Linked DNA regions of Oryctolagus cuniculus. The main gene of each other region encodes a partner of the protein of the gene in region 3 in a complex. Links are inferred from orthologs where the notes say so. Each region holds a gene or a part of one and is shown on either strand. Other genes may lie near its edges.

The links.
Region 1: TRAPPC8 (region 3) and TRAPPC12 share a complex: the UniProt entries of both Homo sapiens proteins name them as parts of the multisubunit TRAPP (transport protein particle) complex. The link is inferred for Oryctolagus cuniculus from reciprocal best matches to the Homo sapiens genes TRAPPC8 and TRAPPC12.
Region 2: TRAPPC8 (region 3) and TRAPPC11 share a complex: the UniProt entries of both Homo sapiens proteins name them as parts of the multisubunit TRAPP (transport protein particle) complex. The link is inferred for Oryctolagus cuniculus from reciprocal best matches to the Homo sapiens genes TRAPPC8 and TRAPPC11.

What each region holds. Positions count from the first base shown.
Region 1 is NC_091433.1:197,957,317-197,960,971, forward strand, and holds part of TRAPPC12 (trafficking protein particle complex subunit 12), read right to left. Parts: intron 1,672-3,655; coding exon 1,533-1,671; intron 1-1,532. UniProt on the Homo sapiens protein: Component of the TRAPP complex, which is involved in endoplasmic reticulum to Golgi apparatus trafficking at a very early stage.
Region 2 is NC_091433.1:65,508,289-65,511,943, reverse strand, and holds part of TRAPPC11 (trafficking protein particle complex subunit 11), read right to left. Parts: intron 2,489-3,655; coding exon 2,423-2,488; intron 2,308-2,422; coding exon 2,151-2,307; intron 1-2,150. UniProt on the Homo sapiens protein: Involved in endoplasmic reticulum to Golgi apparatus trafficking at a very early stage.
Region 3 is NC_091441.1:45,793,038-45,796,080, reverse strand, and holds the end of TRAPPC8 (trafficking protein particle complex subunit 8), read right to left. Parts: intron 2,561-3,043; coding exon 2,471-2,560; intron 1,701-2,470; coding exon 1,466-1,700; 3' UTR 644-1,465; downstream 1-643. UniProt on the Homo sapiens protein: Plays a role in endoplasmic reticulum to Golgi apparatus trafficking at a very early stage. Maintains together with TBC1D14 the cycling pool of ATG9 required for initiation of autophagy. Involved in collagen secretion.

The DNA of each region.
Region 1 (3,655 bases), on a different chromosome or scaffold from region 3:
AAATGTTTTCGCTTCTAGCATTTTGAATTCACCTATATACCTGCTGCTATCAACAGGGATAAAAAAAATATTGCTTTAATTTTTTGAATCATCTACAATAGTTTACTTCAATACTAACCAGGTCTCTCTCTACACCTCCTGAGCTGTCCCACCTGCACCCCTATTCCAGGTCTACACCTCCTGTGCTGTCCCCACCTGCACCCCCTACTCCAGGTCTACACCTGTGCTGTCCCCACCTGCACCCCCTACTCCAGGTCTACACCTGTGCTGTCCCCACCTGCACCCCCTACTCCAGGTCTACACCTCCTGAGCTGTCCCACCTGCACCCCCTACTCCAGGTCTACACCTGTGCTGTCCCCACCTGCACCCCCTACTCCAGGTCTACACCTCCTGAGCTGTCCCACCTGCACCCCCTACTCCAGGTCTACACCTGTGCTGTCCCCACCTGCACCCCCTACTCCAGGTCTACACCTCCTGAGCTGTCCCACCTGCACCCCCTACTCCAGGTCTACACCTGTGCTGTCCCCACCTGCACCCCCTACGCCAGGTCTACACCTCCTGAGCTGTCCCACCTGCACCCCCTACTCCAGGTCTACACCTGTGCTGTCCCCACCTGCACCCCCTACGCCAGGTCTACACCTCCTGAGCTGTCCCCACCTGCACCTCTACCCCAGCCTGGCTCTACATTTTCTAACCACTGCCTCCGAGAAGAAATGCTGAGCCGCTGATTTCACAAAGACGAAGGTGCTGGAATCTAACAGGTACTGCTGACCAATCTGTAAAAGTAAGAAAAACCAAAATGCGGGAACAGCCCTGTGCCAGTGTGGTCCTGAGCAATTCTAAGCGACCTCCATGGAGGACACTTCATCCTCAGGCACCCCAGGAAGTGAGTGATCGCCCTGTTCTCTGGGATGTGACACTGGGGCACAGGTTACGACCAACCTGTCCCAGTCTGCGAGGCTGGGTGAGGAGCCAGGCTGGACCCTGCTCCCAGGAACGGTGCCCACACTGCCTTACAGGGACATCACCCCAGGAGCCCTGTCCTTGTTGTAAACCAGGAGCCGTCTCTCGCGCACCCCTCCAGGGAGCGAGCTTGTCCACAGCCTGCGCTTCTCCTTCCTCAGCTCAGTCCTGAGCCTCCCTTTGCCAGGATCCGGACTTCCCCAAGCAGCAGTCGTGACTGCAATCCCTTATGGGTCATAACCAGACTTAAAACAGGAACACACGTGGCGTGGTCCGTGTGGTGGGGACGGTGCTATGCTTGTACTTGTGCCGGGGCGTCTGGTCCTGACGTGAGGGTGCTTCGTCACCTGTGCCCAGCCCCACCCCAACCACCCTGCTCTGACAGGACGTCCCCCCCCACCCCCCGTCACTGCATTCACAGCCCTGCGTGGGGAGGCTTCGTGCCAGGCAACTTGTTCAAGTTTTCAGAATTAATTAAATAAGGAAAACTGCCGATACCCAATTATGTAAAAGTAAAGCAGAGCAGAACAAGAACATGCAAACGACAGCTAGTGAGCACCGCTGCTTACCCCTCCGTCCGGGATACACGTGGGGGTAGTACTCATAGTAAAGGTCTGGCTGATCCAGACTTCCAAAGGGCTCGAACTCCATCTCAGCGTTCTGGAAGAGGCCCAGCTTCACCAGCAGCGCCAGCCGCACAAACCAGAGCTGGGAACACAGAGGCGATGAAACAAGAAGTTATCTACACACGTCAAGTCCAGAAGTCCCTATGCCTTAGTAATCTGGCATCAGAGTCTGAATTTTAACATTTAAAACAAGGGCTAAACTAACTTGTTATCTTTGCACATTTGCAAAATTATATGTCTATAAGAATACACTTCAGTTTAATAATAACGAGGCAAATGACTCTGATTCAGTTTAACTCGACAACCCCCCGCTGGGGCAGGTTCACAAATCACCATAGGTGCTGTTATGAAGATTCAAACACAGCCCTGCCCCAAGGAGGACGTCCCGTTGGGGACGCACCTGAGACCTGGAGCAGGTCACAGGCAGATGGCGTGTGGAGGGTGGCCTTGAGGGATGAAGAATGCCTAGAGTCAAAGGCCAGGGACCAGTCTAGCACTAGGGAGTAGAAGGAATAAGCGCTCAATGTGGGCCGTCTGCGAGGCTTGTGCGCACAGGGCACTCCTGAGTGCACCCAACAAAGTGACAGAAGTGCAAACTAGAGAGCTGGAGGATTCTAGAAGTAAAATGTACCTTAGCAAAGAGCTCATGATCTCATTTCACCATCAAACATCATGTTGTGGGGCCAGTGTTGTGGCACAGTGGTTTAAACTGCCACCTGCGACACCAGCATCCCATACGGGCACTGGTTTGAGTCCTGGCTGCTCTACTTCTGACCCAGCTCCGTGTTAATGTGTCTGGGTAGACAGCAGAGGATGTTTCAAGTGTTTGGGCCCCTGCACCCATATGGGAGACCTGGATGCTGGGCCAGTCCTGGCTTCAGACAGCTGTTGCAGCCATCCGGGGAGCGAACCAACAGGTGCACTCCTCTCTCTCTCTATTTGCCTTTCAGATAAGTCAGTCTTTAAAAAATCATGTTGTACACTACAAATACACACATTTTCAATTTGCCAATTAAAAAGTTACATGGAAAAAAGGAATTACTAGTTTAAAATAAAACTGAGGTTAGACAGCAGCATCGGGAGCCCAAGATCACACAGCCGGCAACAGAACGAAGGGATGGGTTTCAGGCCGAGCCCAGCGCCCAGCGTCCTCTCACAGCCTCCACATTCACGGCCGCAGGCTGGAGGGTTTGCACACTGCACAAAGGCTGCACTTGACTTGGTGGGCAGGCAGGTGCTCTGCGTGGTTCTGAGCAGGAAGGTGAGACGACCCACACTGTGCTCAGGAGTGCTTGAGGGCTACTGACTGACTGACTGTGAATCCAGACCTGGAGCAGCTTCAGCAAAGGGAGCACAACACTCCCAGGGGGCCTGGACAGAGGTGGCGATGAGCTGAGAGGCGTGAAGGAAAGTAAGCTGTGATCTAGCACACCAAAGGGTGGAGAGACGAGGAGGCAGGGGCGCTCCTCTCCTCCGTCCTCCAGAGTGAGCTGGTGCATGCTCTCCCTTCCACACTGGTGCACTGGTTAAGATGTCCACAGCGATGCCCACACCCACATCAGAATGCCTGGCTGGAGTCCAGACACCTCTCCCAGTTCCACCTGCCTGCGAACCTGCACCCTGCGAGGACACAGATGACAGCCCAGACAGTTAGATCTCTGCATCCCACATGGGAGGCCTGGATGGAAATCCCAGCTCCTGGCTTCAGCCTGGCCCAGCCCCAGCTGTTCTGGGCCTCTGGGGAGTGAATCAGCTAATGAGAGATCTATCCACATCTGTGTGTCTGTCTCTCACGCTGTTTCAAATAAAACAAATTAATAAAAACTTCAGCATCAAGGGGCTGGCAGTGAGGTGCAGTGGGTTAAGTCACTGCCTAAGATGCTGGCATCTCACATTAGAATGCTGGTTTTAGTCCCAGCAGCTTTATTTCCAATCCAACTCCCTGCTCAGGCACCTGGGAAAGCAGCAGAAGACAGCCCAAGTGCTTGGGCCCCTGCCATCCACACGGGAGACTAGAAGTTTCTGGCTCCTGGCTTCAGCTGATCCCAACCCTGGCTGTTGCAGCC
Region 2 (3,655 bases), on a different chromosome or scaffold from region 3:
ATGAAATAACAACAAAGTCCCTAAACGTTAGGTTATTACTTTCCAGTGAAGGTTGCAATAGACTAATGGAATTCTGATTGTAAGTAGAAATCGGCAGTGAAAGGGAAAAAAGGTCAACTTTTATTTCAGTACTTTCAAGTAATTTTAAGGAATAAGAAATGATACATTGTAGCCCATTAATAAAAAATGCATGAATTCAAACTTCTTGAGGTTGCTTTTTTAAAAAATCTAAACTATTCATATTTTTTAAAAGATTTATTTTTTATTTGAAAGGCTGAGTTATAGAGAGGCAGAAGCAGAGAGAGAGAGCGAGAGAAAGAGAGAGAGAGGTCTTCTACTTGCTGGTTCACTCCCCAGTTGGCTGCAACGGCTGGAACTAAGCTGATCCAAAGCCAGGTGCAATGAGCCAGGAGCTTCTTCCAGGTCTCCCACACAGGTGCAGGGGCCCAAGGACTTGGGCCATCTTCCACTGCTTTCCAAGGCCTGGATCGGAAGTGGAGCAGCCAGGACTCAAACTGGCGCCCATAGGAGATGCCAGCACTGCAGGTGGCGACTTTATCATTACACCACAGCACTGGCCCCTAAAATACTCATATTAAATTCCACTAACTGCCTCCCTAATTCTAAGAAGTTAACTAAAAATGATCACAATATTTAATAATAAGCGGATTAATTTCTGAATAGAAGTGCTACACTGTTGGTTGTGAAAATGAAGAATGGGGACCGGTGCTGTGGTGCAGTAGGTTAAGCTGCTGTCTGCAGTGCCGACATCCCATATGGGTGCCGGTTCGATTCCCAGCTGCTTCTCTTCTGATCCAGCTATAACCTGGAAAAGCAGAAGATGGCTCATGTGCTTGGGCCCCTGCACCCAAGTGGGAGACCCAGACAAAGCTCCTGGCTTTAGCCTGGCACAGCCCTGGATGTTGTGGCCACTTGGAGAGTGAACCAACAGATACAAGATCTCTTTGTCTCTGTCTCCCTCTCTCTAACTCTATGTTTCAAATAAATAAATCTTTAAAATAAAATAAAATAAAAGATAAATTTTCTAAAACCCATCAACATGGGTACGGAGACCAATTGATCTTTTTGATGTCTTCTTGAGGATCTCACCTGCTCCCCTGGAGAGAAGCATTCAATAAATATTTACTAATTATTTATTGACAGATATTGCCAAAATACACTATAATTCTGATAACTGCCTATCTAATTTTAGTCTGTATTGTACATTAACTAGTCTGAATACTTAAACACTGAAATAAAATAGCAGATAGACAATAAATCAGGAAAATAAAGCAATTTGTATATTTTTGGTTTTAAGAATATATCAATTCACCCCTCATACAATTTATTCCTATAATACAGCTGAGCATACTACTTCTTGAGTTAACATTTAATTTTTATTCACTCTAACACTCAAGAAGCATATCAGCTCAAAGTGCACTGAGCCAGAAAGGCATCATCATGGGTTTGAATCCATCTTTGAAGATGCTTTGGTTAGGTGACCTGAAAATTTTATCTTGTACTCTTTTATATTTTTCAGTTTCCTAAAAATCATGTTCTCCCATTTTAAGTTATAAACAGTAAACATTACATCAATTTAAGAAACAGCAACCTTTAAGAAATGCACATATAAAAATATTCTTATTTTATTTTCAAGTACTTTTTTCTCCATTTAAAAATTTTATTTTCATTTCATTTGAAAGACTCAGGGAGAGCTGTTCCATTCACTGGTTCACTTCCCAAATCCCTCGCAGCAAGGGCTGGGCCAGGCCAAGTCCAAGCGCCTGGAACTCAACACAGTTCTCCCACATGGGTGGCAAGGGACCCACGCAGTTGAGCTATCACCACGACCTCCCAGGACACACATTAGAAGGAAGCTGAAACCAGAAGCAGAACTGGGACTTGAACTTGGGCACTCCAATATGGGACAAGGCCCCCCTCACGTCCATTTTTAAAGTATAACTTCCTTAGAGTAGAAAAACATCTAATCTTTTAAAATAAGGTATACTAAAACAAATGGTAAATGCCACTAAGTCTATCTTAATTTAAATGTATATGCTTCTGTGAGTACCTGTAAAAGTCTCAAGTTCCCTCAGCAAAAGGCCTGCCACTGCACTGGCTCCCAAGCTGGCACACACTCGGGGTCTCACCTTTGTCCAGCTGAGACTCCAGTTGATCCACGGCCGTCATGGCAGGAGCCAGCTGCAGCTCACTGGATACGATCGTGAGGGCCCAGGGCGAGGCACTTAAGAGGTCGGTCATCAGCAGAAAGGGGATGTCAGCATAGACCCTTTCCAGGTGCTCAAACTGGCACAAACGAAGACAGAAGGTGGGTCAGGAATCAGTCACCCATTTTATTCTTTTCAGTCAATTTCTTTAACCCATATGATTTCCAGCACATATACATGTCACAGAAGCATACCTTTGTGGAAACAAATTTCACTGCGACGTCAAATGGAAAGACAGTTTCTATTGTTACCGTTTCATCCTGCAAGGAAATTCAAAGGAGCATTTCATGGCTTTTCTAAATCTTCTCATACAAATAAAGTTTTAAAAACAGAAGGCCAAAAAACACAAATCTATAACTGATCAATAAATAGTCACAGCTATATGTGAGGAAGGAGCAGGCTTTTTCTTAGATGCTATCTGTAACAATCTCTATAGAGAAACCTGACCACTATTTCAAGTAAATGGTCTTATGGTTTTATAACAATCCCTGCAGCAAAGCACTTTCTTAGACATGACCTCAGGATTTAGTGAAGTGGGAGGGCAAGCATCCTTCTCACTTCACAGAAGAGTAAGGAGATCTAAGAGCAATGCAAGACCTCGCCCAAGGCCACAAAGCTAGTGGTGTAATGCCTAGAATCTGGGTCTTCCTTTTGTCCAAGGACTTTACACCACACCCTGACTCAAGATAACTAAAATAAGAAGAATGTATGATCACAGGTGTCGTTAGAATCACTATCCATGTAGTATGCATCACAGTACTTCAAAACAGTTGGTAGAAAATGGAATTAAAGCTAAATTAAGTTTGTTGTAAAGTATTTTTGAAATCCATATACAGCTTTTTGATGAACTTTTTTTTTGTTTGTTTTGTTTTTCATGAACTTTTTGAACACCCCCCTTCCCCATGCCCGTGGTAAGATCCATAACCACTCAACAAAAACAGATAATGTAATGACTGCCACTTTAAGATAAGCAGGTCACATCGCCAGAAAGTGACAAAGGCAGAATCTGACCCTGGAGCCCTACTCTTAACAAACGCAATACACTTCCTTCCTAAAAGAGTCTGTTTGGAAGACAATGGGATATTATATCTTTCAGAAGAACCCACTCTGTTGGTAGGAATCCTTTAGTTACAATTAGGTTGATCTGGATTCTACTCCTAGCTGGACACATCCCTATGAGCTGTGTGATCCTGGGCATACAGGTATGACTCTGGGAAAGTCATATGGTCTCTTCAAATCTTGGTTTTATTATCTTCATAGATAATTATAAGAATTAAATAAGATAATGCACATTAAGTGCTGAAACTCGCACATTTATCTTCTAACACACCATCTATGGCTCTGTGAGATTACACTGGGCTAGATATAATTTCTGACAGTCTAGTACATGTCTTCTTCCCTCCCAACTGGGAAATCCTGCTAACTCA
Region 3 (3,043 bases):
TAACCAGCATCAGATCTGCAGTGTAGTTATTTAAAACAGATTAAATAAGCTTTGATCTTCTTTTTGAGTAGGATAAAAATGGATTATCTGAGTTTGTAACCAAGCATCAGATATGGTTCATTTAAAGACAAAATTTGTTTCCTTATGTAAAACAAGGCCATAAAGAGCTTTTAAGACCAAAAACTTGGAGGAGTTGTGCAGCTGATTAAGGTGCTCATGTCCCACTGTGAAGTAGCTGGGTTTGATAATCCACCTCTAGCTTCCAACTCCAGCTTCCTGCTAATGCAGATTCTGATAGGGAGTAGTGATGCCTCAAGTAATTTGAGCTCCTGCCATTCACGTACAAAATGTGACTGAATTCCCAACCAGCTTCAGCTCTGCCTGGCCTAGCAGTTGGAGGCATCTGAAGAATGAACCAGTGAATGAGAGCTCTTTGTCTGTCTCTCTCTGCCTCTCAAATAAATATAGTATTTTAAAAATAAAAAGAACAAAGACTATACTTTCAGTTCTGATAATAAAGCTTTCTCAGCAAATTGGGCTGGTATCTGCTATAATAATATGGTTGCCACTTATTTTAAATAGAGAATATATTAAGTTCTCAGAAATTCAGGTTTTAAAAAAGGCAAGGCATCTTATAAATCTATACAGTGAATAGCATGTCTTTATTCTATTTACAGTACATTTGTTATAAATATAATACATTTTGAAAAGCTTATTTTTAATTAACTTGAGTAGATTTATCATTTAAACAGATCAACTCAATTGTTAAAGTTATATAATAAGAATATGATAATTTTAATGACAAAAATCTCATATTGTGAAATAGCGCACTCTATACTGAGATGAATGAGGGGGAAAAAAGTCAAACTCCTTTCAAAACTATATTCAAAGCATCAGAAAAAATTTTTTTCTTTTTACAAAGTTATGTATAAGCCATAGGGACAATCAGATACTGAAACTTGAAGACTCTATAACCAAAGTTCAAAACAGATTTTAGAGAATTTTGTGAACATGGAAAAATTTGTATTTAACACTCTATAGAATTTCACAGTAAAGCTGGAATTTATAAACTAATGGCTTAACAGGAGTACTGCCAACAAGGCCTTTCCTTCCTCAAAATCATCTCCTAATATTTGTATACCATTGATAAGTTGTAACAGTAGACTTAGACACTGCTTTTTAAGACGGGACTTAATGAGGTACATGGGTATGTTGAAATTCTGTATTATGAGCATGTAAATTATTACCAGGGTTTAAAGAAATATGAAAACAAAAACAAACAAAAAAAGAACGTAAGTATTCCCAGTCCAATGTGCTTTGCATCATCAACAAAATGGCAAGTCAAAGAATTCTGCAGTGATCAGACCCCAACCTCCATAATGTTAGGTATTTCAAATACTGCTGTAAAACCCATTCAGCAAAATTAAACTGATTCTTGTGGATTTCAGTACAAACTTGCAAGCTGTCACACATTATTGATGATGATCAGGGCAGGCATGGAGTTCTGCTGACTTGTTTCAAACACTGTAACTTGGTCCGACAATTTGGCAAATATCCTAGGAGTTCCAAGATTATAAACACCTGTATGAACAAAGCATGCTTTCAGCTGCAAACTGTGGATCTCCTGGCCTTTAAGCTGAAGTTTATACTGTGTTTGTCCAAGCCATGTGAATGATCCATGGATTTCCAATGCTTCTGGACTAAGAGAGGAGGAAAATAATAAGTTACAGAGCTTCCTCTATATTATTTTTTCCCCAGAGTCACATAAATATATTCCTTCCATTCAACAATTCTACTTCTAGGAATTATTTAATGAAGCCAGATACTTATTAATAATAACAATGTTCTATTATTATAACAGCCAACATGTATTAATAATAATTATTTTTAAGCATAATGCTAATAGTGAGTTAATATTTAATTCCCACATCTAGTAAATGATGAAACCTGATTTCATATCTGAGCTTTTAATCCCTTGGTTATTCATATATAAAAATAAATGTGTGTACAGAGTGCTTATAACACTGAAACTGTAAGACTGAAAAATGGAAACCAACCCAGTACCCACTAACTAAGATATACATAAACTTGTAAAATATCTGGATTTCAAAGAACTGTTCCAAATCCTGTTTAAGATATATGACAGTAATATTCAGTATATGCTTCAAACTATTTTTCTAAAAATCCAAAATTTCTAAATGTCAAAAAACATCTGGCTCTAGGAGTACTAGATATGGAGATATGGCACTAGAATTTTTTAAGTATTATTTTATAATTGGAAATGAAAATTTTAATATTTAATATCTCTGTAACACTTCCATAACACCACACACAAAATCAGGACATGATGGAGTAAACATTATCTTTCCATATTACAAAGTTATTTATAGAATAAAACAATATTAAAATGCTCTAAAATTACTTTAAAGCTAAAGCCACAAAATAACTTTTCACTGAAAGAAATCTTTACCTTGTTGTTTTATGCCGAAGATCAACTATTACATCTACATCAGCCTGAGAACAGTTGGAAAGTAAAAGGGTAACTGGTACTAAACAAAGGCTATGGAAGAAAAATAAAGAGTTAGCTTGTATTTTTTCCTAAAATAACTTTCTTATTTTTTTAATCTGAAAGGGGAAGAGAGAGATTGATCTTCCATCCACTGGTTTACTTCCCAAATGCCAAGGCTGGCTAAGCCAAACCCAGGAGCCCAGAACTCAATCCAAGTCTCTCATGTGGGTGGTAAGGACCCAAGTAGTTGAGCCATCATCTGTTGCCTCCCATGGTACACATAATCAGGAAGGTAGAACTGTAAGTAGAGCCCAGACTCAAATGCAGGCACTCTGATATGGGGTGTGGGGGTGGGTACCAAGTGGTGTCTTAATTGCTGTGCCAAACATCTGCCCCTAATTCTGTTGTTTTTATGTTCATTTTAAAAATCATTTAATTTTTTAGAACTTGTCCTGGATTGACATTTGCTTTCCTATCTAATTACATAAAGGTATATATTTTGGAGAATATGAGAGTTTTTCTATGTAAGTTATA